Mus musculus: one gene and its partner. The protein of the gene in region 2 interacts with the protein of the main gene of each other region in a pairwise test. Links are inferred from orthologs where the notes say so. Each region holds a gene or a part of one and is shown on either strand. Other genes may lie near its edges. The genes, in order: Sh2d1a and Arhgef7.

Region 1 (16,461 bases), on a different chromosome or scaffold from region 2:
TCCTTTTGATAAAGATTTATTTTATTTCTATTTTATGTGTTTGATCTCTGTGCCTGCATTTATGTCTGAATTATGTGTGTGCAGTGCCCATGGAGGCCAGAAGAGGGCATTGGCTCCCCTGAAGCTGAAGCTATAAACAGTTGTGAGCCACTGTGTGGGTTCTGGGAAGCTAGATCAGCTCCTGTGGAAGTAGAGCCAGGGTCTTAACCACTGAGCCATCTCTCCAACCTCTCATAATTTTCTTAATAAATACTTGCCTAACAAAAATATAAAGTGACCTTTATGCTGAATTTTCAAACAAATTTTGAAATTGAATATAAATAAATTATCATGATCCCATTTAATATATTTTCTGTTGTTCTTAGGCACAGGATTTGATCAATAGGCATCCTTGGTTAGGAAATATATCAAAGTCTCTTTAAATCACTGTGTTTAAACTTAAAAGAGTAGATGATACTAAAATCTTACAAAGAGAAGGCTATGCTTAGTTCATTGCTTACATTGGCATTAAGTCCCTTTAGAATTAAAAAGCCTTTAAATATTTGAATTAAATTGTTATGCCTTTAATCAATACCCATCAGCACTAATTACCTAACGAACTACAAAAGACATTTAAAACACTCTAATCGGGTTCATTTGACTTGGGAAATTGAACAAAAGGCCATTTTAAATGTTCGTGTGATCACAAAACAAATGTTTTATTTTTGTAACATAGATTTACCAAAAAGTATTTGAATCATGTATAAAATAACATGTTATGTGTTTATATGTAATATGCTGAATAAACTATTTTACTGGTGAGATCTTATTTTTAAGTCACTGACGTCTGTCTACCTTAAAGCACACCTATTTTAGTAAGTACTCAACAAGGAACAAGACAAGAGCTTTGATTTCTGTTTTTCACCATGGGAACTTGAAACATGTTTCAAGGGAATTTCTGAAAACTATCCAGAAAAATGGAGATGGAAGCGGGGCCCTTAGTTCTAGTTTTCCCTTTGGGAAGCAATTAATGTGAATAATTCACAATAGCTTTAAGGCTGATGATACAGGAAAAAAAACAGTGTTTAAAATCTCAACAATAGAGCTTGGGAGATAACTCAGTTGCTAAAGAGTTTGCATACAGGCAGGAAGCCCTGAGTTTAATCCCCTGAACCCATTCTAAACATGACACTATGCTCTTCTACTTCCAACACTGAAGTGGCAGAAGCAGGCAGGTCCCTGGGGTTCACTGGCCAGCCAGCCTACCAAGGTTGGTAAGCTCCAGAAAAATGAGAGTACCCATTTCAAAAAGTTACGATGGACAACTCCTGAGGACTAGCACCTGAAGTTCTCTGGCTTCCATACACACGTGTACACACACCTATAAGCACTTATATACATATATACCCATATGCATGTGTACATGCAAAACCACACAAAGTAAAAACTCAATAATTTAAGCAAAATGGTAAGCAAGCTCTCTTCCAGATTCTAAAGAAATGGGCCCCTAAAATACACAATGGATATGCTTCTTTACCATCATTCAGCTTCATTTAGTCAAAATAAATGAGTATGTTTTGAAAATTGTCTCCTAACGAATCTGATCTTATCTCACTTTCGGTTAAACAGCAGGAACCTGAGTACCACTTCAAAAGCTCTTACCTTCTTCAGTCTCCAAACAAGCTGATGTCAATGGCACATACATTTTCTCATGATTAAGGTATCTGATATTAACAATTTCCCCACCCCAAGGCCTTGAATTCTGAATGAACAAACTTTTCTCTCAAATAAACCAGAAGTGTGTGACTTCTGTTTTCAGTCATATAACTTACTAATCAATTATCCTCCATAGATGATATTCATAATAATATGTCATGAATGGGAGAGATCTAAAGCAGAACAATTCAGATTGCATCCCTAAGATCATGGCATTTGTGAGGCACCTGATATGGATGCTTAGAACCAAACTCAGATCCTCTGGAAGAGCATCAAATACTTTTAACCATATTATATGCTTTTTAAAACCACATATATGCTCTGTCTGTAGGAAATCACTGTTATAGGAAAAAGGAATAAGTGTTAATAAAAGCCATAAAACCATACATATCTTGACCAAATAACCTTGCTTATTATCATACACTCCAAGGAAATAAGTCAAAACAAAATAATATGTTTTTAATAGTAAAGTAAAATTAACCTAACTACTCCGAACAAGTAAACATTACTCAGACTAAGAGAATAGTTTTTAGATATTCTCTCAAAAATGTGTGTGATTTAAAGTAGAAATAAAAATTACATCAAGCCGGGCGTGGTGGCGCACACCTTAATCCCAGCACTGGGGAGGCAGAGACAGGCAGATTACTGAGTTCGAGGCCAGCCTGGTCTACAGAGTGAGTTCCAGGACAGCCAGGACATCACAGAGAAACCCTGTCCCGAAAAAACAAACAAACAAAAAAATTACATCAAAATAAAATAATCATTCACAGGCAGGGAACTAGTCAGCAGAGTTAGAAGCATACCTGCTGAATGGGAAAAGGCATTTGCAACCCATTAACTTGATAAGCCTTAGGATCCAAAATATCAAAGATTTGGAAAAACTCAGTAAGAAAACAAATTGATTGAAAAATGGGCAAAGGACCTGTACAGATTTTTCACAAAAAATATATACAAAATGGACCAAAAAAAAGTATGAAAAAAATTCAGCATCATTCATCATTAGAGAAATGCAAATTGAAACCACACCTGTTCAAGTGACTCTCACCAAAAATATGAAAGGTGAGTATTGTAAGGGTGTGGAGAAAGAGAACACATGTACACTACTAGTGGGAATGCAAATTAGTAAAGTGATTATGGAAAACAGGAAGGTGGTTCCTCACAAAATAAAAAAAAAAAAATTAAAAAGGTATGACTCAGCAATAGAATGACTGGACGTGTATCCAAATGAGATCATTATGTTGAAGAGTCAGTGCTCCCCTGTTCAGTGTAACACCATTTACAATAGAAAAGATAAGAAATCAACATTAGTGTACAAGACCGGATGAATGATGGATGAAGAACGTGTGATCTAGACATGCTGCACCTCATATGAGGGAATCTCGATTTTAAGACAAACAAACAAAGACACAGAAATGAACTAACTGAGAAAAAAAGACCAGAAGAAGGGAAGACAAAATGGTTTATGGGGCAAATATGTTCAAAATATATTCTACATGTAAGAAAATAGTATAATAAACTCATTTTGTACAATATGTGCTAATTATTAATGATTTAAAACAAAACCTGAAATATGCATGTAATTGAATACCATTCAAACTTAACGAAAATGTTATCTATTTTTGACAGTAGGGATGAACCTAAATGGCAGATATTATGTTAAATGAAATAATACAGGCACAGAAAGACAAATAGTACAAGATCACAGTTACGAATAGAATCTAAAAATACTGAATTGACAGAAGCTGTGAATGCTGTGCCTTTGTTAATCACAAATTTTTTAAAAAATGTAATTCATTTTTTAAAATTGCTACATGCTTCTGACTTCCTCTGTGAATATAGACAAATCAAGAACTGGATCAATTTTCACTTCCTTCTCCCACTGAGATGCTTTTTGAAATTGATCATAAGCGCAGCATTTAGAATTTAAAACAGTGTAGTGTTTAAATTGCTGCTGTTAATTTATTTTCGTAAGTAACACATACCAAAAGTGTGTCTTATTTATTGCTGATTCTAAAATTTGACTTTATTTCACCTAAAGCTGCTTTTCAAAGGTGTTCAGACTGGCAATGGGCAGGTACAAAGCCGCTCAGTTTGTTTCTTAATTTCTCAGTGAGTCAGTATGGTAGGTAGGACTTTGCTTCAAACCAACAAACCCACACAAACTTTCTGGATGCCCACTAAAGGACTTCTCAAAGGAAAAACTGTAAGTACATCTGACTTCTATATTCTCAGTGCAAATAATGCAAGCTAATTCCTATAGTCTCCTTTACACAATATATCTAAACAAAATATTTACAGATATATACAACATTTGGAAGACAGGATTATGGGCCGGATTTTGAGGGACTTCTTGTGCTTTGTGAGAACTCATTCTACAGATGGGACTGACTTCACACTCATGGAGGTACTCAGACCTCACCTACTAAGTGCTGAGATTGCAAGCAGGAGTCACTGTACCTGCTGTAACTAAATTTTGAGCAAATATATTACATCCATAGTAACTGCCACATGCATACAAAGTCTTCATTATTAAAACTGTATTCTCCTTCAAGAGGTTTCTAATTTTCTGTTTTCCAAACTTTATTCTTTTGGAGTGGATATGAATTTCCAGTACAAGCTAAAGTCATTCAATATACAGACTAATGTAAAACTACATTCTTCCCACCACCACTTGGTGGTGGCAATCCATGGCTAAAGAAAATGGAGGAACCTAGCCAAGGTAAAATTTACTAGATAACAGGCAGAGTTACAAGGGCTGGAGAAATGGCTCACAGGTTAAGACCATTTCCAGAGGTCCTGAATTCAATTCCCAACAACAACATGGTGGCTCACAACCATGGATGGAACTGGATACAAATATCATGTATGCTCTCCAATTTGTTGTTGTTAGCTTTTTGTCTTGAGATATGTGTGAACGCCCATAGAGATCAGGGACCATAGGTGGCTGCTTTCAGGGACAAAGAGATGGCATGCAAAAGTATGCAAGACTTAAAAAAGAGTGAAAAGGGAATACTAGAACAGGAAGGGTTAAATTGGGGTGGTGGTGGGAAGGCAGACCAGAAGACAGAATAAGGGGAAAGATAAATAACAGTAAAACTCTCTCAAAAAGGTAAACCTACTAATGTAGATGTTTACTAAAATTAATAAATGTACACATCTATATAATTATTAAAGTGGAGTTACTCTACAAAAGGGCAGCCACTAAATATCACACACTAGCAAATAAAGTTCCTAGTACCAGGAGTGGATCATGACTTTTTGAATTTTTGGCCAATGAGGTCCCATAGACCACCATTACAGGTCATTGCCAGTGTTCTTGATTACCCTCCAGAACTTGACAGGAAGACCTTATTGCTGAAGACACCACACACTTGAAGCATAGAACACAACAAACCCAAGCTGATACAGACCTGGAAGCTTCATCTACATAGGCTAATCCATAGTGCTGGAAGGCGCTATGCACACTGTCGGTGGAGAAATGTAATCGTCAATTTCATTCCTCAAAAAAGGCCAGAAAGAGAACTCTCTTATCCAAAGCCATATAGGACAATGGCGTCATTCTGTGTCTTCGAGGCTAAAGAATTATAAATGCATTTCCTCTGCCAAATCTTAAATCAGAGAAGCATAAAGTCAGAGAGATGTTAATTGTGGACATATGGTATTTTTCAAGCTTATTTTTAAAATATTTTAATTCGTTTTTCTCTTGTGAGCCAATCCAGGGAAGTGGCTATTTATCTTAGAGTGAAAAGTGAAAACTTGTAAGGGTATAATATGTACCTCAATAAAAGAAACATGATATACCCAGAAGAAAAGAAAGGAGTAAAATCTTACACTGTCTCTTTGAAAAGAGTTAGTTATCTAAAGATTATAGTTTTTCCTTAATTTATTATTGATGTTAATTTAATCTAATTTAACAGAATTATTTTAGACTTTGTCACAAAGAACCAGTAGACAAGGGTACCTAATAAATTTTAAGTACGTTTGAAAAGTATGGCACACTAATTCAATTAATGCAAGTACAAATAGATCAATTGAACCAAATAGTCAAAGAACAAAAACCATATTTTGACTATTCAGTTCTTTTAGGTTTTGGTAAAGTAGCCCAACAAATAAAAAGTGGAAATTCTATTTAGTAAACTATGTTGGACAGTTGAAAACCACTTAGAAACAAATCAAATTAGATCTTTTATGCACATAGAAGTAAAATTCAAATGGAATTAAAGAGTAGAATATAAATTAATAAAACCATATATTTAAAACAAAAGAGTCAAGTTTTATGTATCTAGGGAGGAGAAAAGATTTTCTAAGCTGAGATGCAAAGGGAAAAAAATCAAGCATGAAGAAGCTGTGTGATTCATTTTAATACTAAAAGTATTAAATAACAAACACCAAACTGATAAAGGATATCTACAACACATTAAGATGTGTCCGTGTATCTGTGTGTGTGTGTGTGTGTGTGTGTGTGTGTGTGTGTGTGTGTGTGTGTGGTGTAAAGCAATAAGATTCAAATCATCAAGTGATATAAGTATGCAAATAACCACATAGAAAACATTTAGTGCCACTAACAAAAGCTAAGATATCAAATTTCAAAGGGAACTATTTTTAACAAGAATACTCATTGGTAAAGGAAAGTACACATATAAACTATAGTACTCCTTTGGGCAAAGATATATTGTGATCATTTATATGTAGAATTTATAATTTAAAGTATTGAATGATTCAGTTGTCAAAATAAGAGGCTGATGTATATGTATGAAGTCATACAAGAACAGAATTAGTCAACAAACAGTAAAATAAGAGAAAAATATGGTCTAGAAAAATATGGTTCATTTACAACTTAGCTGAACTAACATACAGCTCTTATAAGATAATGCTTTGAATTTATTTGTGAAAATATTGCATGAGTCAGCTTTTTTCATACTAAGTGGAAATTGCAGCAAAATGTAATGAAAGATGTACATGTTCAAAAATATTCATTTTATTGTGTAAAAGAAACGTTGTTTAAAACTTAATAGTAGTTGTCTTTAAGTCATAATATTATAGATAATTTTTTCCATAAATTCCATTGTTTTCAAAGTCTATATCCCAAATGAGTATAAAAGACTATTTTGATGGGCTCTTTTAATTCTAATTTTATTTAGAGTAAACAACTGGAAGAAAGGCTTCTTGTTTTAAATGAAAGTAGCAGTCCTAGAAATGGAAGACTTTTACAATATTTGAAACATTCTATTTTCGAAAACCTAACAGGAAAAAGGTCCCGTGTGACTGAGATTTAATCTGGGAAAGAGGCACATATGGTTTGAAAATACAATTCTAAGCATAGTTTGAACCATACAATAAAAATAGAGTAAATTGAAGTTTACAAAAACCTTCGTGGTTAATGAGAATAAACAAAACATAAAATAAGGTGGTACTGATTAAACAGACACTATTGTGGGTTTTTTTCAAGCATATATGATTTTTTTTTCTACTCTAAATCCTACAAATCAGTATTTTGAGTAAGGAATGTAGATTAGGATCCAAATAACATGTTGCACGTACCATGTAGTGCCAATAAGAGAGAATAAAATGTTTGTGTGTAGCAAAAGGGGCACTCAGCTCAAAACAAAACAAAACAAAACAAAACAAAACAAAACAAACAAAACAAAACCCTGAAGCACTTATCAAAGGCAAGAAAAGCATTCCTTCCACAGTTGTCTGGCCATAACCTTGAAAACAACAGACCATCATTTTAAAGACTGGAGGAGAATTCTCCACTTCTCTATTTTCATAGGGAGAGGTTTTCAAAGAGAAGTTAGTCAACAGTAACAACAACAAAAAACAAACAAACAAGCATCTTACATTTATACAGCATCCCCGGTGAGTGAAAACCAGAAGGCTGAGAATTTCCTTACATGGTTCCGGCCTACATACCAAAATACTAAGGTTCCTTCTCTTCAAGATTTCACTTACAGCCATCTTTTATAACAGAGGAAACAACAGGTTTCTATTTTACACGGATGTAAGGTGAAGCCCCAGAGAATTTGAATGACTTCCTAGAGCCCCCACCCTGGCTTCTTGGCAGCCAGATGCCCTTCATAGTGAAGAGCATATGCCTGAACAGTTAGTCGAATTCCAAACTGTTTGCTGAGTGCCTATTATGTACCAGGATATAGTCCTGGTAGAGGCAATGTTTGCTCCTTTGTGAAGGTAGTTTCGTGGTAGAGCCCATATATAAGTAAACAAACTTATATTAGCATGTTTAAAGTTCCTTGAATAGAAGAAATGGGATAGCAACCCAGAGAGGGCACTTACATTTGTGGGAATGATCAAGAGATGCAATGTTGAACAGAAACTGGACAATCCTGAGTAGGGAGCAGGCTTAGTTACCTTCCGGGGTGACCAGGTGGGAAGAAAAATTCAAGTGTGAGCTGTACTGTCTCCAGCCCTCTCTCCCCTATATAGGCTTCATGTGAACCTTCTGGTTAAGGAGCATGCTCCTTCTATTATCAGTGTGCCCAAAGCAGCCCGTCTCACTCACCATCCTTCATCTTTTGACAAGTTAAAAATAACTAAGGATTGTCATTGGCTTCCCTAGCCCTTCTTAGGGTTCCACTTGGGAACATAAAGGTCCAAGCCCAGGGTTGGGCATCTAGCTTAATAAAAAAGCATTTTTCAGGCACATATAAAATTCTGGATCCTGTCCCCAACACTGAAAAATGATTTTTCCATATATTTACCTTGAAGCCTTTATGATAAATGTATTTAGCATGATCTTAAAAACTGACAAAAATAAGGCTTGGACATTTTTTTAAAAAAATCAATATACAATGACAATCCTCTCACACCAGCCTCAATTTAATCTTTATTTTCTGGCCCAGAGAGTACGTCAAATTTTTGCAGTGTATCATCATGTACAGAACTCACTACCAAGCATTTTTGTTTTGCTTTCATGTAGACTCTACTGTATTAGAGTGAGGTTTTACTGGGATATATGTATAAGCATACAGTATATATGTGTGTGTGTGTGTGTGTGTATATATATATATATGTGTGTGTGTATGTATGTGTGTATTATGTGTGTGTATATGTGTGTGTATATATATATATATATATGTATATATATATATATATATATCCTGCTTACAGTAGTGCTTGAACTGGGTCCTTCTGTAGACTGCCTCAAGGAGTACCGGAATAATTTGTCCAAAAAGAGACTAATAATAAACCAGACTTCCATTTGCTGAGCGTCAAGCCCAGTGTTCATTTGTCTTTTTTTTTTTTGTACATGGAGGTATTTAATCTTCATTGACCCTTAGAATATGAATCCCATTTAAAATCAATGGCTAAGAGATTGGTGTTGTGAGATAACAACCTTTTGAGTCTGACTACAGTAGGATTTGCTCAGGGAGGTTGTACAGAGCCAAGATGCAGCTGCACCTGGTTCAAAATGGAGTAAGAGGCTGAGACCAGTCTAGGCAAAGCTCAAAGTGGGATAATTACAATGATGTTTTCTCCCTCTCTCTGTTCTTTAAAACTATTCTCACTCCTATCATTTACGGGACACAGCACGTTTTAAAACTCATTATGCCTCTTATAAAACAAGGCAATTCAGCAGCACCAGAAAGGTGCCCCTACTCTTGCATACACATCCTCTTCAGCACTGTACTGCTTTAGTGTTGTTGGCTACTGTTTTTTAATAGGATCTTATACTATGTAGCCCTAGCTGGCATGGAACCGGCCCATGTAAAACCAGGCTAGTCACCTGAAACTCACACACATCTGTCTACCTCTGCCTTCCCTGGGCTGCATTCTGAAAGCAATGGATTCCATTTCCTGGCTAACCACTTCTTCAAGCATTTGCTAGATGCTTTTCTTTTAGGGTACCATTTTCAGTCACATTTGTAGAGAATGATAGAGAAAGACCTTCCTTTGCCTTACTTCATGGCCCAGAATACAAATAGTCCAACTTCCCGGGGCTCCACCATCATGGTGTCTACTTGGAATCAGAGCCGAAGTCCAGAGTATGGGTCTTTCTCAAAGTAAAGGTAAGTTCTAGGCCATGTTTTCCCATTCTGAAGGGTATTCAGTGAAGCTGCCACAAACGCACTGGTGAAATGCAGTTGATAAAATCCGCAGTGAGGGACGTACGTACAAGTACTGCCCACCACATCCCTGGGCTGAGCCCTGGGACCATACGTCAGAGCTGGAAGAGTACTCAGTTCCTGCTGCCTGTATTCCCTAGGTACCTCTGCCAAAAGCTGTCATCCCCTGCCACTCCTCCCAGCCCTCCCCTGAAAGGGCAGGCTACCCATGCTAACAACCTGCCACTACCACGAGATATACTCACAAAACACACAGGCAGTACACGCCAGGGACACTCTCGCTGTCTCGCAGCAGATAGCTTCCATCCAGCCCGGTAGCGAGTAAGAGCTTCTCCCCGGTCTCCCTGCTGATTTTGCCGTGGTACACAGTCACTGCATCCATGCCTAGCAAACTCTTTGATGGGCCCAGAAGAAGGATGGTAAAAAGGAAACTTTGCTGCTGCTGTTGCCGCTGCAGTGGCTTACTGGGCAGTATTGAGAGAGAGAGAGAGAGAGAGAGAGAGAGAGAGAGAGAGAGAGAGAGAGAGAGAGAGAGAGAGAAACACCCTAACAACAGGATGTTGTCTACCTGCCTTAAAACCTCTTCTCACACTTCAATTCAGGCCAGCTCAGCAGTTTAACAGCTTCAAACTTGTCATGGGTTTGATCATCTATTCTCCAACAAAGGTTTGTGGTGGGGGAGGGGGCACGCTGAAAAGGTGAACACTTGCAGTATTTGAGCTGTGCCAGCAACGCAAACAGAGCTTGCACAAAGATGAGAAACTTGCTAGTGCCTTTGTTCTTGTGTAGTTCCTGCAAACTTCGAAGCCATTGACAATGACTTGTCTTAACGAGTGAACAAAAGAATTGGTGATAGAAGTGAATGGGACGTGTTCATCATGAGGGGCAGAAGCAGACTGACAAAATAAAAGCATAAAAGCAGTCAAGCTACAAAACCACAGCAGAACATGGCTGCAAGGCTTCCACAGCATCACCAAGGGCTACTGAACTACAGACTTTGGGACTAGATGGTCCTGAAACAGCTTTCTTTTCTTCAATGCTGATGATGGAATTCGGGGCCTCGCAGATGAGGTCTTCTATCCCGAAGCCATATGCCAAATCCTTGAATACACTTAGGCCAAAACAAGTATTTTTACCTTAATGTTTTGTCCAAAATCCAAAACTATGAAAAAAATTGTCATCATATTAAAAAAAAAAAAGTGTAGATGGATCTAGCTAAGGAGCTTAAGAAGACTAAATTCTTTTGTTGGTACTTCTTTGTTTTTATTATTATTAAAATCACAATATAATCACAGCATTTCTCCCTTCCCTTTTCACCCTTGAAACCCTCCCATGAATCCCTCCCTGCTCTTCAACAACATTGCTATTGTATTATTGTATTATTGCATGCATATATGTATATACGTGTAATTCCTAAACACATCCAGTTGTGCCTGTATGGTGCTATTTGTATGTATGTTTTCAGGGATAGCCATTTGGTAGTAGACGACCAATTAGTGTGCTCTTCCCACGGGTGACCACTTCTTCTACTTCCGATTTTACTCAGCTGTCTGTAGTTCTTCCTGTAGAGCTGCTGGTTTGTGGGCTTTTTCTGTCCAGTTTGGTCTGTCCATTGGTGTCCTGTGTGAACTTCTATATACCCTTTGGCATATGGGGCTAGGCCAGAATCATTGTGGATATAAAATCCATTTTACATCATCGCACAGGTGTTGATAAATGTGTTGTAACTTCTATTCTCATACATAAATGCCTACCTACATCAATGTTAAAAACATCAGAGTTTAGCCTAACCAGGACTCTATTTAGAAATCAGTTATAATGATGGCATTTTAAATATGAAAAGAAAGAAAGGGGTAATCTTCTTTTATTAAGGCATACGGACAGTAGCCCACCTAGAGTGTAACTGCTAGAACATTCAGTGTTCCATAGGTTAAAAACAAAACCTAACCTCATTTTTTTTGTCTCTGAACAACCCTGAACAAATCATCTACAAACACAGGCACAGAGAAACCTGGATCTGACGGAGCAAGCATCCCATGCATTCTTTTCTTTCTGTTTCATTCTGCATTGCTAAAATAGCACGCTTGTCAAAGCAGCCAGGTACAGTGGGCTTCAGCACAACGAAAATCACATCACAAGAGAACAGTTAAATTATACGGTAATAGTACAACTCTCACATCCACTACCTTATTGTCATCTCACAAGCAAACTGACAGGTGAGCCAGCCCACCAGTGCAGTGTTGATGAAAAATACTGACACCCTTGCTCTGCTGCTATGCAGGCACTAAGCTTGACTTTGGCAAATTCAAACTTCACACAGAGCTTGAAGTGTAGAGAATAGAGGAACTGAAATAGCTTTCTTCCTTCCCTGTCCCTGTACCCACAGTACAGGAAGACAAAGATCACATAACAGAGAAGGGGAGATAACAGTGACACCAACAGACAAAGAGCTAAGGAATGGGCCCCATTTATGAGAGGAAGAATCTACTTGTATGTTGCCTGTCTCTATCACTTGACCTTAAGGTGCATATCAACAGGGTCTTATATATGTTGTTTGCCACTGTATCCTCAGAGACTGGCACAGAGTGGATGGGTTTAGTGAATGAATAAATGTCTGAAATTAAAATTGTCAAGAAAACAATATGAAATTATCTCTCCCCCTTGTCTGTCTGTCTCTTTCTCTGACTCTCAATGTCTATCTGTCTGTCTCTCTGTCGGTCTCTGACTGTCTCTGTCTATCTCTGTCTCTCTCTCTCTCTGACACACACACACACACACAGAGAGAGAGAGAGAGAAAGAGAGAGAGAGAGAGAGAGAGAGAGAGAGTGCTTTTCCATTCCTTTGGCTCCCCTTAGAAACAGCGATGAGAATTGGAAGGTATTTTGAGGTCCAAATTGTACTCCACCTTTTATCACTAAATGGTTTCCTCTCTCTGAGCCTTATTTTCTCCATCTGTCAAATGGAATTGAGCCAGGTGAACCCTGAGTAGTCATTTTCAGCTTCAACATTCTGTGCTATAAGTGAATGAATAAATGAATGAATGAATGAATGAAGCAAGCAAGCAAGCAAGCAAGCAAGCTTCTTTGGAGAAAAACACAGGGGTAGCTCATTTTTTGAGGAAGAAGCAAGATCCTGAAGTCTCAACAGGAGGAGGCATTTGTTCTCATTGTTTTTAAAATAATCTCAGAAATAAAAACTATCATAGAGGAAGAGTGCCTTATATTTTAAAGAAAACGTTCTGAATATAGATGCCATTCAAGTCCAACACCAAAACATTGAAAGCTAGAAAACCTGTCAGGCAAGGTTTAAAGGGTCTTCTTGTCTAAACTTGTCTCCTCCTGAGATCTCTGAACAGTGACAGGATTTAGCACGTGGATACCCTGTCTGAGGTGCTAATTGTCTGTATTCCAAATGCCCTAGGCTATTCTGGAGCCCAAGTAGATTAAAAGAAAGATGCCAAGGGTGGTCAGTTTTGTATAGTACATAGGACATTTCAGAATCTTGTTCTCTAACCTTTCAAAACTACCTTTGTTCTTCTACCAGCTTCTCTAAAATGTGTGAATTCTCCTGTGGCCATGTTATGATGTGGTGAGTTTACACATACTCTTGGCACTTAGATTTACTTCCTTTACAAAAGTAAGAAAAAATAGTCTTAGAGAGAGAGAGAGAGAGAGAGAGAGAGAGAGAGAGAGAGAGAGAGAACCTCTTTTCAATAACACCTGAGTTTATTTATAAAGCTATATGTTTTCCTAAATGCCCTCTTCAAAGAGAGAAAGCAGACACAAGGTTGCTGTGGGTATTTGTTTAAACCTGTTAAATATATGTATTATTCTTCCAGCTGCTAATAAACTTCTATTGTATGTCAGATCCAATAGTTGGAACTTAAGTTAGAAAGAAGAAAACCATAGTTCATACCTGTTCTCAAGCAGCTCATAGCAGGATGCAAACAGACAATTAGATTCCAGTTCTTGTGTTGAATGCTTAGAGCCCACCTGGTGGCATTATTTTGGGATGGGATAGAAATGTTAAGATGTGGACCGTACCTGGAGGAAGTAACTCACTGAGCATATGCTTCTGAAAGGGGCAGCTAATTCCAAGTCCCAGATTCTCTCCCTCTCTCCCTCCCAGCCTTCCCTTTCCTCCCCACCTCTCTTCCTCACCATCCCACTCCCCCCTCCCAGACACCACTGGCAAATCAGTGCTCCTCCTCCCGCCTTCTTTGCCATGATGCTGCACCTCACTTAGTCCTCTAGAAACATAAGACAAATTATTCCTGATACAAATTTCTTACGGCAAGGACTGTGTCACAACACTACAAAAGTAACTAATACAAGCTATGATAGAGGAGAGGGTGGAATTCTCACAGCACAGCAATACTACATTTTGTGCTATTTTTATTCTGAACATATAAAACGTACTTAATGTGACAATGTCTTTTATCTTTATGTCTACTGTGTATAGTTACTTACTCTAGTTTGCCTGATTTTTCACCTCCATCTTAAATTCAAAGAAACTTAGTTCTAGCTGAAATGGCATGGTTTTTTGAGCTTCGCTTTATTTGATAGTATGCCTAGGAAAGACCTTGCTTGGATGGTTTGTTGTTCAGGTTCTCAGGTCCAAAATATGGATTATCATTTATCCATCCATCTATCCAAAAATAACAGTACTCTGAGAATAATCTGTTCCTAAAGTGATCTAGCCAGGTTTAATGGCACATGCCTGTAGTCCAGCAAATTTGGGAGAATTTATTGAGCCCAGAAATGTAGACCTAGCCTCAGAAACCATAGAAAACTTATTTCTTAAAAATTGGAAATAAATATTCTAGGTGTCTTCTACACAAGTCAGAAATTGCTACACAGACAAAGTCTTATTGCTCAATTCTTCTTTTCTAGATGAACGAAGGCAAGTCGTAGGCACGTTTATCTTAGTTTCCTCTGTGAGTATAAACAAGATAGCATATTCTACTTTTCTAGAACCTAACAGATGCTCAAGAGCTTTTTGCTCTGAGCTTGTGAAACCCTGGGAGACATGGATGATGCCATATTCCTCTTAGGGCATACATATCCAAACACAGTACCTGACATCTGCTCAACATTATTCTTTCCTTCCCTATAGAGAGAGAACCTCCTACAGAGTGCAGTTTCCAATTTGATTCCAAGGCTGTAACATTTTTTTCATTGATTTCTTTTACACAGTCATTTACCAATGTTTATCAAGTGGTCTGCCTCATCCTCGTTGGCAGAAACAACTCTTTACACACCTCTCCTTAGCTACTTATAAATAAGTCTTCCTGTGTCCTTTTGGCTTCATTATCCCAGTTACTTTCAGATAGTAACCAAGTCATCTTTCTGCACCCTTTATTTCCAGATGAGGTATCTTTAAAAAGATGAGACTCTAAATAAATTCCCATCTGAAAAGCTGTTCTCTCTCTCTCTCTCTCTCTCTCTCTCTCTCTCTCTCTCTCTCTCTCTCTCCCTCCCTCCCCTCCCCTCCCTCTCTCTCTCCCTTTCTCTCTCTGTCTCTCTCTCTCCCTTCTTCCCCTCCCCCTCTCTGTCTGTCTGTCTCTCTGTCTGTCTGTCTCTCTCTGTCTGTCTCTCTCTTTCTCTCTCTCTGAAAATATAACATTTTCACCATCAGAGCTCAAACTGGATTAAAGTGCAAAGTAATGCTATGTTATTTTGTTTATATATTTTTGCCTGAACATTTTTTAAAATCCTCTGATATTTTAGAACATGAATTATCGACTCCAGCCAGGGAAGCAGATCAGTGCCTTTCTCAGCCATCATCAGAGAAGCTTCCTCCAGCAACAGATTGGAACAAATATAGAGACATTACTCAGAGAGTAAAGGTCTTGCAACCCTCATTGCTAAATTCAATTCTACAAATCCTTCCCCTCAAAGCTCAGATAATCTTCCTGGAAGAGGAAGAAGAAAGAGTGTAAGAGCCACAGGGGATGGAGGACACGAAGAGAGCAAGGCCTCTGAACCAAAAGGACACACACACACACACACACACACACACACACACATACAAATGCACAGAGACTGAAGCACCAAGCACAGGGCCTGCACTGGTCTGTACCAGGTTCTCTGCACTAATATTATGGCTTCCAGTTTGTTGTTTTTGTTGGGTTCCTGTAAATGAGTGGATCTCATACCTTCTTTTGGGTTCTTTTCCTTCTGTTGGTTTATATTGTCCAATTTCAATGTGATAGTTTTTTATTTTATCTTATATTTTAGTTTATTATATTTTACAAACAAACAAACAAAAACGAATGAATGTAAACCTTGTCACTAGTGTAAAGGTTAACAACAAAACTGTCACTTACACCTGCTGAGAAGGGACAATCAGTTTTCTCCAATAGAGTGACACTAGGTATATTAACCACTCCAGGGCAGGCCTCATGTTCAGGTGTTGTTGACTAACAAATAACAGACTCCACAGTTTTTTGTGTGTACTTTTATTTAGTTACAGTTTGGTGGGGTGTTTTTGTGTTTGTTGTTTATTTCTTTGTTTTGGGGGTAATGTTGTATTTTGTTTTCTATATTTTGGGTATTTTGCTGTTGTCGTGCATTTTTTGACTAGGTTTTTTTGTTTTGTTTTGTTTTGTTTTGTTTTGTTTTTTGAAAGATCTTAAAGTCAAGTGGGTAGGATACAGAAAATGATCTGGATGAAAGTCTTA
Region 2 (15,636 bases):
TGTATTTAGTGATGAGGCGGCTCTGTTGTCCCCCCACATGGTGGTTGTCGTTGCCTCAGTATGGGCTGCCTGTCCTCAGCTGTGTGCTGCAACAGTGAGGCACAGCTGCTGTACTCGGGTTTTCTCATCACACCGACTGGAGTGGCACTGCTGGCTCAAGGAGCTGTCGCTGTGGTCGGCGCTGCTGAGCTGGTTCTGACAGTTTGCCCTTGCTCATTTGTCCCAGTCAAGAGCCATTTGGGTGACAATTTCTGTTGAGGCCCACACTGTGGAACAACAGCTCAACCTTTTTGCGTTTGTTTTGAATGTCTGACATTAGTTTTGTGACCTGGTTAGAAATTTGTTAGTGCCACAGGCACAGGAGATGGTCCTCATGTAGCAGAGGGGACACAGCGTTGGAGGGGCCATCGTTTCTACATTTGTGGAACTGTAGTCATGCTGATAGCACCTAACATTTCTGCAGCTCTGTAAAGCCCTGTATGCAGTGAGTGTTAAACGGAAGATGCAGACTGATGGAGAAGGTAGGTCCAAGCCATCTCGGGCCTTCTGTAGGTGGCCCAACAGTGTTCCTGTCTAACTGATACTCGTCAGAAGTCTTTATTAAGCTACACTAACTCGGTGTTTGGCGTAAGATTGCCAAAACACAATAATATGTATATAGTGGTATAAGATCTTGGGGAAATTATATATTGTGCTCTTTATCTGTGAATGGGAAAAGCCATTTTAGTACAAGACTCCCATTTGAAAACTCACTTGGATGTATATCTGAATGTTGCATTGTATTGTACAGTATGCTTATTGTCTGTGGTTGCATATGGCAATGAAGTGTCTGTTTTATATTTAAAAAGACATCTGTTCTGTACAGTTGAAATAAATTTTGCATTTGCTAGCCTTTGGCTTTTAATATTTGTTACATGGGGGAGGGCATAGCATAGCTTGAAGCCGAGTGTGCCATGGCCAATTCTCCAGGCTGGCATTCGTCCACGGGCATGCATTTTTGCTGTGATTGAGGACTGGCACTCTCTTAGGTAAGATGTAGTCTAAATAGTACAAGGCAGGGTCTCTGTGTAGTCCTGGCTGCCTGGAACTCACAGAGCTCTGCCCACTTCTTTCCTGGAAGGTGGGATCAAAGGTGTGTCCCCAGGTCCAGCTGCTTTTTTCCTGTTTCCTGTCACTGAAAGGCTTGTCCTCAGAAGCTGCGTCCCTTCCTCACAGTGAAAAGAAGCTCAGTTTTTAAGTCCTTCATTTGGACCAGGGCCAGCATTTCCCTTCCGTTTTGCAAATTGCACTCCTAATTCAGAAGAAAAAGCCCTTCGTAGTGACAGCCCTTCCTTTTTCTAGGTTGGAAAACCAATCCAAACCCCAGAGCCATAGCTAGTGTAGCCTGTGAGCCTTGGATGCTCCTGAAGAGATCTTCTAAGTGTAATGCTATGTTTTGTTCTGAAAGTAGGATCAGCTGTGTTTAAATGATGCAGGAGCATGTCCCGAGTGTGCCAGGCCACTGGCCAGGTGGGCTGATGCTCATTTGTGACAGACTTAGCTACTGCTTTGGGTAGGCAAACACATACCTGTGTGTGCCCACATCCTTTTTTTACATACACAGGGTGTGACAGTTACAGAGTTGGACAGATGACTTAGCTATCGCTGAGTCCTAGCTGTATGTCATCCCGTGGTCCCTGACACGAGGAAGGAGTCTGGGGTGATCCTTGGCTCTAACAGCCTCCGTGGATCTGTGTTTCTCACCCGAGACCCACAGCCTGTTGGCCTTTGACAATGCAGGGCAGGATACTACTAGAGACTACTAGTGTTTGACTCTTGTGTTTCTGTTGGTGTGGACATGTTCTCTGTCTTGAATCACATCTGTGAGTGGGTGTTGCCATAGGACCTGGAGCCTGTAGGCGTCCCCAGCAAAGAATGACCTTGTAAAATTTTCATGCAGGACTTGAAGTTGGTGAGACACATCTGTAGGTTTGTTCTTGGAGAGTCTGCATGAGAAGTGCCAGGTTGGGCTGATCGCAAACTGTTCTGTCTGACGCGTGTGTCTTTTTCTCTACTTGCACATGGAGGGCATAATGGTGGGTGAGGGCAGACTGATAGTTTTTATTGGGGCTGTGAGGCCACCTGGCACTTCTCATGCTGTTACCCATAAACACCATAAGTGACACTGATGCTGAGATTTAAGAAGTCCAATGTTTAGATGAGGAGCTTTGGATAGACTGAATTATAATAAAAGGAGTCCTTTTTTATTGCTTTACCCAAACCTGTAGTGTTCTAGAAGTGCGCTGTGAGCCTCCAGGAAAGGTCTGCATGCAGTGTTTCAGGCAAGCAACAGCAGATCCTGACGCCATCGCCCCAGGGACCACAGTGTGTAAGACAGCTCTGCACTGCGCTGCAGAGCCTTCACAGTGTGCTGCTGTGCCAGCTCCTGTGATGGGGCACCATGTAAAGTGCTAGCACATTCTCTGGTCCTGTGGTTACATGCTTTTTTCCAACCTAGGTATTCAAGAAAACTGTGCTCTGATGCCACTAAGCACAGCAATGTCTCAGTTACAGTGTTGAGTATGTATTTTAGAAAACTGCTGTCCTTAAGATACCACTAACTTACAAACTGGCTTGCTATACTTCATTGTTTTGTTGAAAGGCGGCTACACGTTTTAAAAAATCATTTTAGAAATGCATGCTGTGTTGAAAGATGGGTGGCTTATGGTGACCTGACGGGTGTCTGCCTGCTGTACAGATGAGCAGTCTGCGTTACATGCCCGTCACCCACTATCAGGCTCAACAGCAGTTCCCTCTGCCTGTCTCAGAGCTGGAGCAGTTATACCTTCAACCCAGAGCACAGTCTTAGACTTTGATTGAGGTCTTGGTGCCCTGTGCACAGAGCAGTTTCATGTCCAGGACCCTGTCATGTGTTTTCAAACTGACAGCTGCCATGAAGTTTAGTCCCTTAGATCTATTGCGTTACTTACTGGAGCTCATAGCTTTTATTTAGGACTACGTTTAGTAAGAGATGGTTAACTGAAAGGTCAACCTTCATTCAGCAAAGTGTCCTTGGTAAGTGTAGAGCAGCCCTCAGTCTCTTACAGAGTCTGAAAGCTTTAATGCTGGAAACAGATTTTCCAGCGAGAAAAGACTGGAAGAGCTGAGAGGAAGTGCGCGGACCGCACTGCTCTGGTATGGTGACGAGGCCTCGCCGGGCCTCACCCGCCGGGCCTTCTCAAGCCCATAGTAAGTTTAATGACAGGGTGGTCACCAAGACTAACAGAGTCATCAGCACTCAGCCCAAGCATACTACTTGGCTGCAGGGTAACAGCGGGAAGCCTGGAGAGCCATCCCAAGTGCTCTTTCCTGGATCCCCTTCTTCCCCCAGGAGCTGGGGTCCAGCATCGCAGACGCCTGCACTTCTCTGGTCCTCACTTTTGGGCACTTTCAGAATGCATTAGCTTCCTCTAAAGACACCTGCCCTCCTGTGGGAGGCATGCGTAAACATGCTTTCTTTGTGTGACCTGTGTCCCTCAGTGCTCAATAGGAAACGAGCCTCAGAGTGGCTCCTGCTAAATCAAAGAGGCTGTCCAGGAAGGACATCTGCCTGTCACTTGCACCCTCCTGGGGGTGGGGGTTGACACTGTCAGCCTGCTGCTGGTTTTTAAAATATGTCCCTCCCTAGGACTATATGTTAAAGCCTACCATCTCCAGGACTTGAGACACAGAGAGAAAGATAGGTGGTGTGTCCTCACTAGAGCACGTAGCTGCAACCCCTCCAGGGTGGGGTGGCTATCATTTGGGATAGTCTTTCACAAAGAGTATACTCCGAGCATATTAGGATGTTGACAACCTACTCACATGGGAGTCAAGGCTGGACTACCTCACCATATACAGGGCCTCCTTTTACTGACAAAATTGTGCTCTGTGACATAGGCCTGGCAGGCCTGGCTTGATGGCCACTCCTGAACTCCCCAAGGTGTTTCCAGTCTCTGTCATTCTGGCCTTGATTGAGTACCTTCCAGTGCAATAGGCTTGGCAGATACACAGAGTCTTCCAGGCCCCATAGTTAGCCTGATGTACAGCTATATGTCCCTACATGCCAGGGACATTTCATAAGCTTAGACAGCAGTGGGCTCACCTCAGTGCATTCAGAGCACAGGTTCGGGTTAAATTGCATGAAAAGCTGCTCTTCACAGTTTTCTCTCTCAAACACCATTCTAGGGTTTCCATGCCAACGAGGGTGCACAAGAAGTGCTCCTTAAAATCTGATATGCTTTCAGAAAGACAGACAAAGGGCACCCCAGAAACACAAAAGCAAATTAACCCCTTGTGCACAGTCATCTTGCCTCGTGTCACATGCTTTTCCTCAAGAGCTGTGACAGCACAGCCCTCGGCAGGCATCTGTATTCACACAGAGCCCGTCCTTCAGCAGGCGTCCATATTCATGCAGAGCCCGTCCTTCCTCCAGTGCGGACCTGGTGGTGGTGCGCAAAAACAATGAGAATAATCAGTCACATGGCGTAATTCTTCCTGGTACCCATCCTTTCAAGGCCAGTGTCTGCAGCACATTGTGCGTCCGACACATGAGGTGGTTACCAGCCAACGTCTGTGCCAGGACCATGTGCCTGTTCCCGCTGCCATTGGAAGCTGTGTGTCTCAAGGGGCTGAGAATGCTTTCATCTGGTGATCAGTCAGTAAACCGCACCTCTCCTAAACCATTGTGTTACAGTGCTACAGGGTTTTAAAAGCCATTACTACTGTACAGCTTTTTCTTGACGCTTTAGCTGTGACTCTTAGCCCTTCACACTGAGCTACCACTCCAGCTCTGAAACTTTTTTTCAATTGCCAGACTTTTTTCATTTATAAGCACAAGAATTATGCATTCTTTCCCGGTCTGGACTTTCCAGCGTTGCTGCTCCGCTATAATGGTTTAAACCTCGATTGTGTGTTGAGTGCAGTGTGGACAGACCTTTAGCGTACTTGCTGTTAGCTAGCGATTAACGTACTTAAGAGAGTTTAATAATTCGCAAAAGAGGCGATTTTTACTTAGTTTGCCTAGTTTGCCTTTGCTGTTTCCTTTGCTCTGTAGTGTTTTGGTTGGCCACACTCAGCAGACAGCTGGAGGAAAGTGGTGAAAGGTCTTCCTGCGCAATCACTGGTGCTGTGTGATAAGTGACTGTAGTGAAGTAGGTGTCCTTTCCTGCCCTCAGGTGGCACTCACGTGGGCCTTCTCTTTCTAATGACCAGGTTCACGCAAAGAATCTGCTCCACAAGTGTTGCTTCCAGAAGAAGAAAAAATTATAGTCGAAGAAACCAAGAGCAATGGGCAGACAGTGATAGAGGAAAAGTAAGATGCTTTTCTCTTCCATTATGGCTGGCTCCCCACCCCCACCCCACTCCATCTCAGGCAGATAGTGATAGAAAATAAATAAGATGGTTTTCTATTCTGTTCTGGCTGGCTCCCCCACCATCCCATGGGTGGCACGATCTCTAAAGTCTGCCGGAGGCTGGGGTGCAGCCCCTCAGATGGGTGACAGTCTAAGCTTGGGGTTAGCTTGAGGAACCTAGGGGGGCTCCACCCTGGAGGCTCTGCCCGTCTGTGTTGTGTCTCTTTGGCCTTTCCTGTGCTTACTCGCTCTCCTGTTCCAGGAGCCTCGTGGATACGGTGTATGCGTTAAAGGATGAAGTCCAGGAGTTAAGACAGGTACGCCAGCCAGTTTTTACTTTTAATTAGTTTTTTTTTTTTTTTAAATGGGAGAAAAAGGGAAATACTGTTTTAAACGTGAAGCTCATTGTATACTGAAAGGAAACCACAAAGTCAACACCGTTTCTCAGATAGGAGTGACTGGCAAGGGCTGGAGAGATGGTATAGCGGCTAAAAGGTCCAAGTTCAGCTTACACATCCACATGGAAGCCTATCTGTTAACTCCAGTCCTGGGGTATCTAATGCTGCCTTTTGGCCTCTGTGGGTAATGCATACACATTGTACACAGACATACATGCAGGAAAAACACCCCGTGTATAAAACAGTATACACACACACACATGCATGTCTAAAAAAGAATAAATTATCATTTTAAAACACAAGAGTGAGAGGCAGGAGATGCCTGCCTGTGCAGCACAGCTGTTTGGGTGCGAGCGGCCCGTCTTTTGCCTAACTTCTAAGTAGTGCTTTATTACTTTGTGTTTGATGTGGGGTGGGGCACATGGCATGGCACATGTGGAGTGGGTTCTCTACTTGTATGTGGGTTCTGAGAATCAAATTCTGGATGTCAGACTTGCCCTGCAAGCCCCTTCACCTGCTTGAGCCGTTGTAGGATGTGTATATTCAGTGCTTTGGAGGGACAGGGCAGCAGTGTCCTGAGGGTGAGGTAACTGGACATACTTGGCAGTGCCTGTCTCCCCTTCTCGTGTTTGGGGCAGTATGCTTTTCTCCCTTCCTGATATGTCTCGTTCAGTAGCTATTGCTTCTGTTCTGTGTTTGACTGGACAGGGGAATTACAAATGCTAGCAGTGGGTCTGTAGACATTGTCCCTGTTCCTCTTACCAGCCCCTTCCTTCGGGCACGTTTCATGCGTGTAAGTAGGAGACTGCCATTACTCTCCAGAGTACATTCACGACTCAGCTCGGTTGGCCGGCCCCTCCCAACCTGGGCTACCGAAGGATTCAGCTAAGATGAAGGATGCCGAGGTAGTGAACCTGCTGTTGTCTGCTTGCCTTACAGGATAACAAGAAGATGAAGAAGTCCTTAGAGGAGGAACAGAGGGCCCGCAAGGACTTAGAGAAGCTGGTGAGGAAGGTTCTAAAGAATATGAACGACCCTGCCTGGGATGAGACCAATCTATAGGCTGACTTCATTCTCATAGGCTGAAGAGCAGCAGTTCCTGGACATGGCTGGGGCCCTTGGCTTCCAGCACAGTGACATTTAGGACTAAGGAAGGTGGTCTCCATCAGGCGAGCAGCAGCAATGAGGCTGTTGCTGAAGTAGCTACATGTGAGTTATAGACACTGAGGTCTGGGCTGAGTGTGCACATATCTGCCACTTCTCCATGCAGTGACTGACCAGAGTCCTTTGGCTTCTGGACTTGAGTTGAATCTATAAATAGCATACCTGTGTACTCCTTGTAAATACTGGGATCTGAGCACCTACCTGAGATGGGACTGGGCTAACCCTCCTGCTAGGATTTCCTTCTCAGCCTTTCTGGCCACAGGGATCTGAAGTTGTGTTTGTGAAGTGTTGGAAGCAGAAAGGTGAAGAGATGCCGTGGCAGCTGTCTGACTCGTGTGTAGCGCAGGCTCCATGGTGCCATCGGGAACAGGCACTCGGGCACAGTGAATTTGTGTGTCTCTGTTCTTAACTGCAGTATTCCAGTCTCGGCTATGGCTGTGCCCAGGGCATCATGGGTTCTAGGGAGGGAAACTGTTACCTGCCTGTGGTGCCCGCCTCTGCTGCCCTGCCCTGTCCTGTCTGGGCCTTGGTCACAGTGTGCAGAAGTGGGTTAGCCCTGTACATAGATGTGTTATTTATTCCATACTCTCTAGCCGGTGCTGCCGGCCGGGCAGGGTTTGGCTGCAGGCTGTTTTCATCCAGGAGCTCTGCTCTGCCTCTGGCCGCAGTCAGCGTTGTCCAGGCCACTGAAAGCCCTCCTAACCCTCTGAGCGAGAATAAAGCAATACAAACCCCAAGTGGAGCAGCACAGCGAGAGCCCTCAAGTGCTGTGCCTGCGCCCTACTCTGCTGCCTCCCCAGGCCAGGCCCAGGCAGGCCCTGGAAGGCTGGTGGCCTGGGCAAGCGGCCCTGCTTCTGTTAGGCCATGCTTGCCCCTGGTTTGGCAACAGTTAACAGTGACCTCAGGAGCTTAGCTGTCCCTTCTTTCCTCCAAAGAGGTTGTTTTCAAGTCAGAGATACTTTCCCTTAGAAAGGTGTTTTGTCTTTAAACACTGAAGAGCAATGTGTGCTACTGGGGCCTCAGCACAGCCTCTTTCCCTAGGACGTGACCCAGCCCCCGCCCACCCACCCACCTGTGGAGGTTTCTGCGTGGGCACTTAGAGGCCGTTTGTGCTCTCTCCTTCTGCCACACTCTAGCTGGTTGCAGTGTCTATGGGTTGTGTCTGTCAGGATCCACCAGAGCCTCCCACCCCTGTTAGCATTTACAGCTCAGTGTGCGGGGTGAGAAAAGCTGAGCTGTTCCTTTCCTTTTGGTAAGCCCTGTTTTCCAAGCACTCTGCTGACCCAGAAGACACTGCAGCAAAAGGCAGTGTGTTTGCTGTCACAGCAGGTCTCAACTCAGGAACAACACTCCTTGCAACTCCACTGCTGGCACAGGGGCCTGGGGTTGCTGGGCAGCCCCTCCATCAACAGGAAGCAAAGACCATGTTCGCCAGTGTCCTTGCCACCGCCGAGGTTGCCGTCCGTGCCCCAGGACAATTCCTTTCAGACCTGCCTTAATGATTCGCTTGGAGTGTTCCATGAGTATTCATGTTCCCAGCATCCCTACCCTGGACAGGGTGGTTAGGCTGTCAGCACGCCGCCTTGTCTCTCTGAGGATCCAGTGTCTTCCAGGCTCTCCAGGGAGCGAGAATCTGCACCCAAGAGCAGTTCTTTTTAAAACCGGCCCTGGTGTACACACCCACTTCTCTCTCCTGCGTGTCTGCGCGGGGAGCTTTGATACCAACAGCACAGGGCGCCTCTCACCAACTCCTAAGTCCTCTGTGTTCTGTAAGGGATGCGGGGGAATCAAGCCATTTCCTGTCGTGTAGATGTGAAGCACTTTCCGTTCTGAACCATGCTGCGGTGTAGCAGCGTCCGAAACTCCACTGTTCTCCTCCAGCTGCTGCCCATGCGCCCTGTGCACTTCATGCCAACCCCCACTTTCCTGGGACACGACAGGAGACCGCACCGGGGTCGACTGCTCAGTGTGTGTGTGCTACACCCTTGCAATTATTAAACTCCTTATTTTTCTTATCTCACAAAACGTGTTGCTTCATCTTCCTTGAGACGGTCTCCATGTGCATGTCTTGGCTTATCAGGTTTGAAATCCTGATGTGTTCAATGCAGGGAAATACTGTTGAAATCTGGGAGCATTTAAGGATGGTAAGAGTGGGAAACAGAAGTTCTAGGAGTAGTTTCTCTCCCGAATTTCACCCTCCTCCCACTCCCATTAAATTGGAATAACAACTGCTGGTAAGATGTGGGCCATTTTCTGGATTAAAACAAAAGGCAGTGCTCTGAAGGAATCTGGGATCTCTACAAAAGAAAATTACTGCTGCTGTTCAATCAGCTCTGCCTGGTCAGGAGCTGGTCCCGAGTCCCGTTAGGAAGTTCGTACCAGATTTCAGAGACACGGCAGTAGCAGGCCTTCCTAGGTTTGAGACAGACAGACAGACAGACACACACACACACACACACACACACACACACACACACCTTTGTGCCTCAATGCTTTATGGACTGCAGCATCTTCTACCAGATTGCTCTTTGGTCATCCAGAGCTCCTGCAAGCAGTGGATACAGATGTAGGCCAAACACCCACCCCACGCGCGGGGGTTGAGGTGGACCTCAGCCCAAGCCCAGTGAGTCAGGAGCGTGAGCTGGCTTTGGGGCACGCAGCTCTTGCAGTGAGAGTGCCCTGTCTGGAAGGGCTCTAAGGCAGTGCAGGACTCGGCTCTGGCGGACGGTGCTGTCGGTTGCCAGGGCAGCCATGTGAAAGGGTACCTGGGCTGCCATGCTGTGGGCTACACAGGCACTGTGATTTGTCCCTATCTGGCTCCCGTCCGTACCTGGGCAGTTCTCACAGATTGGTCACCAAGTGCAGCACTCATCCCTCTAAGGGAAAAGGCAGCTGTGGGTCTGCAGTCAGTCCTTGCACGGCCTCTCAAGCCTCAGGCCTCAAAAGCACACGGGCGTTTCTTAGGGTTGGCATAGACAGGCTGTTCTCTCCAGCCCCCAGGGCCAGATTCTAACGTGGTTTGGGGAATCTCAGTAGCAAAGTTGGGGGCTCCAGAAGAGCATACACCAAGTAAATGGGCTGGAAGCTTAGTGGAAATCATTAATGTAGTGTTCCCATGGCCTGCAGGTTTCTCAGAGCCATAGACCCTGCTCTGTACCTAGTCTTCCCTGTCAGGTCATGGAGGGTAAGTGGCTTACAAGACAGAGCTGCTGCTCAGCACAACCACAGTGTCTGGAAGCTTGTGAGTCTGGTGATGCGGAATGGCAGGCAGGACATGAGGCTTCTCGGACCCTCAGTCCCACTCAACTTCAGTGTGTGCTGTGAAGGAGCTGCTACCTTCACAGCCAGGGCCTGCTGCTTTCCCACCCACCCCTCCTATCCCCCATTCCTGTCCCCTCCTGTCCTACCTGCCCCATCCCTGACTGCCCCACGGGCTTCCTGCTGCTCGCTGTCCGCTCCTGATGGCAGCCAGCTGGTGAGCTGATAAGAAGCAGGACAGCCACTCAGACCATTGCTCTCCAGGCAGGGTGGCTCGGACTGTCCCTGGAGGACAGGAGCTTGGGTTGCAGTGTAGACCTGTCTAAGGGTCACTGTGTGTGTCCCAGCCCAGGTCCAGGGGTGTTGAAAGCCATGGCCAGCACTCCTATCCTGGTCCCCAAGTGCGGGGAGCCTTTGGCTTCCTGTGTGGATGTGCCCTTTTGTTTTTATTAGTGTTTTATGAGACCATGGCTCTCACACTGGTATTTTCGTTGTGTCTTCACCCTCTTCCTCCAACTGCCAGTCTTCTCCCCAAATCATCTCTCCTCTGACTTTTGTTTTTCTTCTTAGATTTATTTATTTATTATATGTAAGTACACTGTAGCTGTTTTCAGACACCCCAGAAGAGGGCATCAGATCTCATTATAGATGGTTGTGAGCCAACATGGGGTTGCTGGGATTTGAACTCAGGACCTCCAGAAGAGCAGTCGGTGCTGAGCCATCTCTCCAGCCCCTCTCCTGTGTCTTGATATAACTAATGTGTGTACACACAGGTAACCTTGGTTGCACATGTGAGAGGAAAAAACAGCCTGTTTGTCTCTTGGGGTCCTGTCCACTAACATGCTAGTCTCCAGCGTCTTCCTGCCAGTGACATAGCTGCTCCTTTATGGCTGTGCAGACATGGCATGTTGTCTTCCTTCCTTCCTCTGCTAAGGACACCTAGATTGGTTCCTTCACTTTGTTACTGTGGATCATACAGCAGGGAACACAGATGAGCAACTTACACTCCAGTTATGTCTTACCTGCTCAGAGAACTCAAAATGGATCAAACACTTTTAACATCTTATATTCTGAGATGCAGGTGGAGTGCCATCCTTTCTGGACAGGACTCAGACAGCTCTGGACGCCAGTATCCATAGCGTGCGACAGAGACGCTTCTGCACAGCAGCCCCCGATTGTTACATACTCTGAATCTGCCTGAATTCCCCACTTCCTTGCCCCCAACCTGGCTTTTCTCATTTCTCAGTGTGTCCGTCCATCCGTCTGTCTGCATTTCCTATTCTGGCTGGTTCCCAGCACCTGACCCTGAAGCAACACTGGGAACCTCTGTTCCCGAGAATCCCTGGTCTCAACTCTGCCCCAGCCCATCCTCATGTCCTTTCGTCCCTTCCCCCTGCCCTTGCCACTCCCCACCTCTGTCATCGACAGTAGCGGTCGATTGCTTTGTGGAAATTCCCAATAATATAGTTGGGGCCTGCTGTTGCTACCTCCCAGAAGGGACCTGTGGGTGAGGGGCAGGCTAGCTGGTGCATCATTCTCTTCTAAAAGCATTTCCTTTTTAGCTTTTCTTTCAGGGTGCTGTTGGGGAAGGTTTGCACTGGCCTGTGTTGTGGCCAGTCACAGGCCAGGCCTCAAGGTACCTTTAACAGAATTCACCCCCTTAGGCACTCCTTAAATGGGGACAGTTCTCTGCTCTAAGTTACTTTCTGCTGTTTTGGAAATCCTGAGGGCAGGTGTGTAGAAGGGAGGCCCTGTAATGGCTAGGTAAGCATCAAGCAGGTGCACTGCTTAACATAGCTGTGGTCTGGACACTCCCTCATCTTCTGGGAACTGTTGGGGTCACAGGAGACATAAGTATCAGCTCCCATCACACGAAACAAATCGGAGTGACCAGGAACAGTTGCACGGACACCCACAGTCACAAATCAAATGACATTCACACTTTAATACCTTTAGTGATACCCTGGTGGGGGCATGCACGGAGCAACAGGGGAGTTTCATAGTAGGTTTCAGATGCTATGAAATTACATCCTTAGCTCTTGGCTGTGTGGATGCTAATGGTATATTGATACATTTTAACAGGCTTCACCTGTTAAGGTAAATGTTAGGTCTAACCCAGAAGTAGGGTGATGAATGGCTGTTGCAGGGCTAAGGCCAACTCTGGATTGTTTGGATGTAGAGCTGTATCATTCCAGCTCTTCACTGCTCTAACCAGGCCCTCGGCTTTGCAGATTGTGTAACGGATATGTGGTTGGTTGTCTTCTGGGGCTTAGGGCTTACTGTCAACAGGTAGCACACTAGTGACCACGGAAAGGCGAGCTTCTCTGACTAGAAGAGGGGTCTCATTCACCACTGACCCAGTGTCCGCCTGGGAAGTGAAGGCAGAAAGAGGGTGCACAGGTCACAGAAACCCCACTGGAACACTCACCGCTGCCAACGATAGTGTTTGTGTAAAAAATATAAACGTGTGTTCGAAACCATGGTGCAAGATAGAATATTTGTCTAGAGATCAGTTTTCAATAGGCCAGGAGCAAGATAGTCGATTTTTATTAATAACGAAAAGTATTAAATAGAAATAAAGTGAAAGATGAAGACCTTTAGATCGGAGGGTGTTGAAGCCATGGCGGTTGAAACAGATGACAGTGGGAATGGTTGAGGTCCCAGAGTACGAGGGTGCTGACTTCTCACCTGTCTCCTGCCATGCTTAGGAAGCCCTGGACTTGTTTGTTTCTGTTCTACATCTCAAAGAAGTTCTGCAGATTGTGAGGGGGTGGAAATTAGCAAGACTGTGTAAGAACCTTGTGAAGATGTTAATACTGGTCAATACTGGCATCAAGGGGTCTCCATCAAAGGGCAGACACGGGAGACGACCCAGACCTGGTCTGAGTAATGACTCAAAGGTGCTCTGTGGGCCCAGTTTCTTGGTTCTGGCCGTGGCACTGTGGGCTGGGAGCATGCACACACCTTCCCTCGGAACTCACTGGGGACCTGAGCCCTGGGCTGTTTGGGACCTGGGTCCCTGCCTCTGCCGAGCCCAGGTGTTCCTGCAGCTCAGTTCTGCCCTGTGGCAGGGTTCTGCTCTTGGCGGATTGGAAAAACTGAGAGCAAGGGAGCCTTGCTAGGCAGTCCCTGGTTTCCCCACCCTCCACATGCAAGACAGCGGCCAGTTCCTCCACACCTGGCTGTGCTTGCTGCCTCAGTGATGGCTGATAAACAGCTTCACCCCAGGGAGCAGTAGCTCCCAGGATAATTAATTTCCTTCATATTATGCAGCCACCAGCTTTTATTTCTGTAAAAGTTGCCATGTTTGCAAGAGCTGCTTCTTATACACATCCTCTTGGTTATTAAATGCCAACCACATTTGTTTACAAATAAAACCAAGTTAATGAAATACTGCATCTACATTAGCAAGAGCTGAGAGCACTGCGGCCTCCGCAGGCTCCAGAGCCTTGTGCTGGCCTTCAGTGGTGTACCTCAGGGAGGGTCCCCACAGAGCATTGCAGTTAGAAAGGGGACCATCTCCAGCAGCTCACTTCCCAGCCCTGACCTACTTGGGATTCTTGCAACACCTGGAAAATACTGAAACATATGGCAGTTTCCAGCAAGGAGCAAAAGGAAGGTTGTCACTGTCACAGCCCCCTTCCAAGGGCATGCTTGCACTGTGATAAGCAGAAGGGGCCCACTCTGAGGATGGAGGCATAGGACTCACAGGGCCTTGTTCCTTCTCCTGTGGATAGAGGGGACCTTGTTTTGTTCATGGTTGCACCCTAGTAGTGTTTGCGAAAACACTCCCAGAAAACAAAAGTCACATGGCGAAATTTAAATATATGATCCTGCTCCCAAGCTCACCACGCTTTCAGGAAGGAGCAACTTGGATTCTAACTTGAGGCTTCAGAACAGTACCTTACACAGGGGAGATTTCCCCAGCCCATTAGTGTGCTTGGCCCCCTCTCTCCATACCCAGTCCATAGAATGAGGTGCTGTGTAACCCTTTTATGACCTTGAGCTTCAAAATGATGTCACAATAAGCAGGGACTGGTTTCCTTCTGTCCACCCTGACCTCCAGCTACTTGTGAGCCGTAGACAAGAAGCTGAGGTAGCCAGTTCGTGGCTTAACCAAAACATTGTTCCTTCTTAGAGGCTACCAGAGAGGCAGTGCACAGACCTCAGTTCTGGAACTGATGGACAGGTTGGTGACTACCCCTCCACCCTGAGGCCAGGAGAAGCCCTCAAAGTTTGGCCTGTTAATTCTCTAGTACCCGTACAAAACGCCCCAAAGATGGCCACACTGCCACCCTGTGCTGAGGTGTCCTGACTGACCTGTCTTCAGGTGTGAATACTCGGAGGTCCCTGTGTGCTGAGGTGGCCTAAGCTATCTTTTAAGTGTACAACTCCTGTACTCCCTGTGCTGAGGTTTCCTGTCTTCCAGGCATATTTGATCCCTGTATCCCCCGCCAGCTGCTACCATGAAAGACACCAAAGAAATCAAGAGGTCCCCACCACATCTCCTGAAGAAGTTTGCAGGTAACATGGAAGAGACTCTTGGGGCTGTTTGCATGGAGAGTTTGGCTGTCGTGCCGTCTGGCTTATCTGATCAAGGAAAGCAGGGACGTGTGTTTCCAGGTTACCCCATGGAGCCACCTTGAGATCTCTGAGTCTTGAGCCATTACAGAGCAGCCCCTTGGGATTTCTCACACTAGCTCAAGAAACAACAGGGAGTCCCAGGGCTTTTGGTTGGTTATACTCTTCAGTCACTTTAAAGCTCTCATCTCTCGGAAGTGGCTTTTATAGAATACGTTCTTTTTTACAACAAGGAGCACGCTTCTCCTCCCCACTAGGTATGTAAGCAGGCATTAGACACTTGACCCTGGGTGTGGAAGTCGTGCAAAAATATGATTTTCTCAAAGGCACGTTGACTGTGCATGGTATAATTGCATTTACTTTAAGTCAGGCAGGAAAACCTTCTAGAATTGCGTGCTTCGCAGGAGGAGCCTCAGACCACTGGGGACTGTCACCTTCCCTCCCAAATCTCACTGTTTGAAACTTCCTTTTTTTTCTCTCCTCAATGGTGCATGTATTTATGCATTGCTATTATGCCATATGACATGGAGAAGCAGAGAAGAAATGTGTTCATCTTTTGTTTGTCTCCCTTGGAAGGCAGGCCAGGCGTGTTTCTATGGGATTCCCTGAAAGAAAGCCAACTTCTCCCTCGAGGCTGGGAGTGGGAGGGGAGGCTCAGCCACGGTGGGGTTGGGGAGGCATTAGGTCATGCTGGGGCCAGACACCTCCACAGGCCAAAGACTCTTAAAAGGACCGATTGCGATATCTGATTCAGAACAAGGAAGCCATGCCGGAGATGTAGGCAGACTGGAGCCACAGAGAGCAGCAGAAACTACTGGGCCAAATCAGAGCGGCTGCTCTGTATGTTTGGCTGGGATCCAGTG

What was found.
Region 1: the proteins of Arhgef7 (region 2) and Sh2d1a interact in binary tests that used the Homo sapiens proteins (3 or more experiments, as listed by UniProt). The link is inferred for Mus musculus from reciprocal best matches to the Homo sapiens genes ARHGEF7 and SH2D1A.

What each region holds. Positions count from the first base shown.
Region 1 is NC_000086.7:42,496,423-42,512,883, reverse strand, and holds the start of Sh2d1a (SH2 domain-containing protein 1A), read right to left. Parts: upstream 10,320-16,461; 5' UTR 10,162-10,319; coding exon 10,025-10,161; intron 8,065-10,024; exon of another isoform or gene 7,992-8,064; coding exon of another isoform or gene 7,990-7,991; intron 7,563-7,989; exon of another isoform or gene 7,539-7,562; coding exon of another isoform or gene 7,537-7,538; intron 5,160-7,536; coding exon of another isoform or gene 5,106-5,159; intron 1-5,105.
Region 2 is NC_000074.6:11,826,261-11,841,896, forward strand, and holds the end of Arhgef7 (rho guanine nucleotide exchange factor 7), read left to right. Parts: exon of another isoform or gene 1-889; intron 890-5,232; coding exon 5,233-5,332; intron 5,333-5,634; coding exon 5,635-5,689; intron 5,690-6,709; coding exon 6,710-6,832; 3' UTR 6,833-8,959; downstream 8,960-15,636. UniProt on the Homo sapiens protein: Acts as a RAC1 guanine nucleotide exchange factor (GEF) and can induce membrane ruffling. Functions in cell migration, attachment and cell spreading. Promotes targeting of RAC1 to focal adhesions. May function as a positive regulator of apoptosis.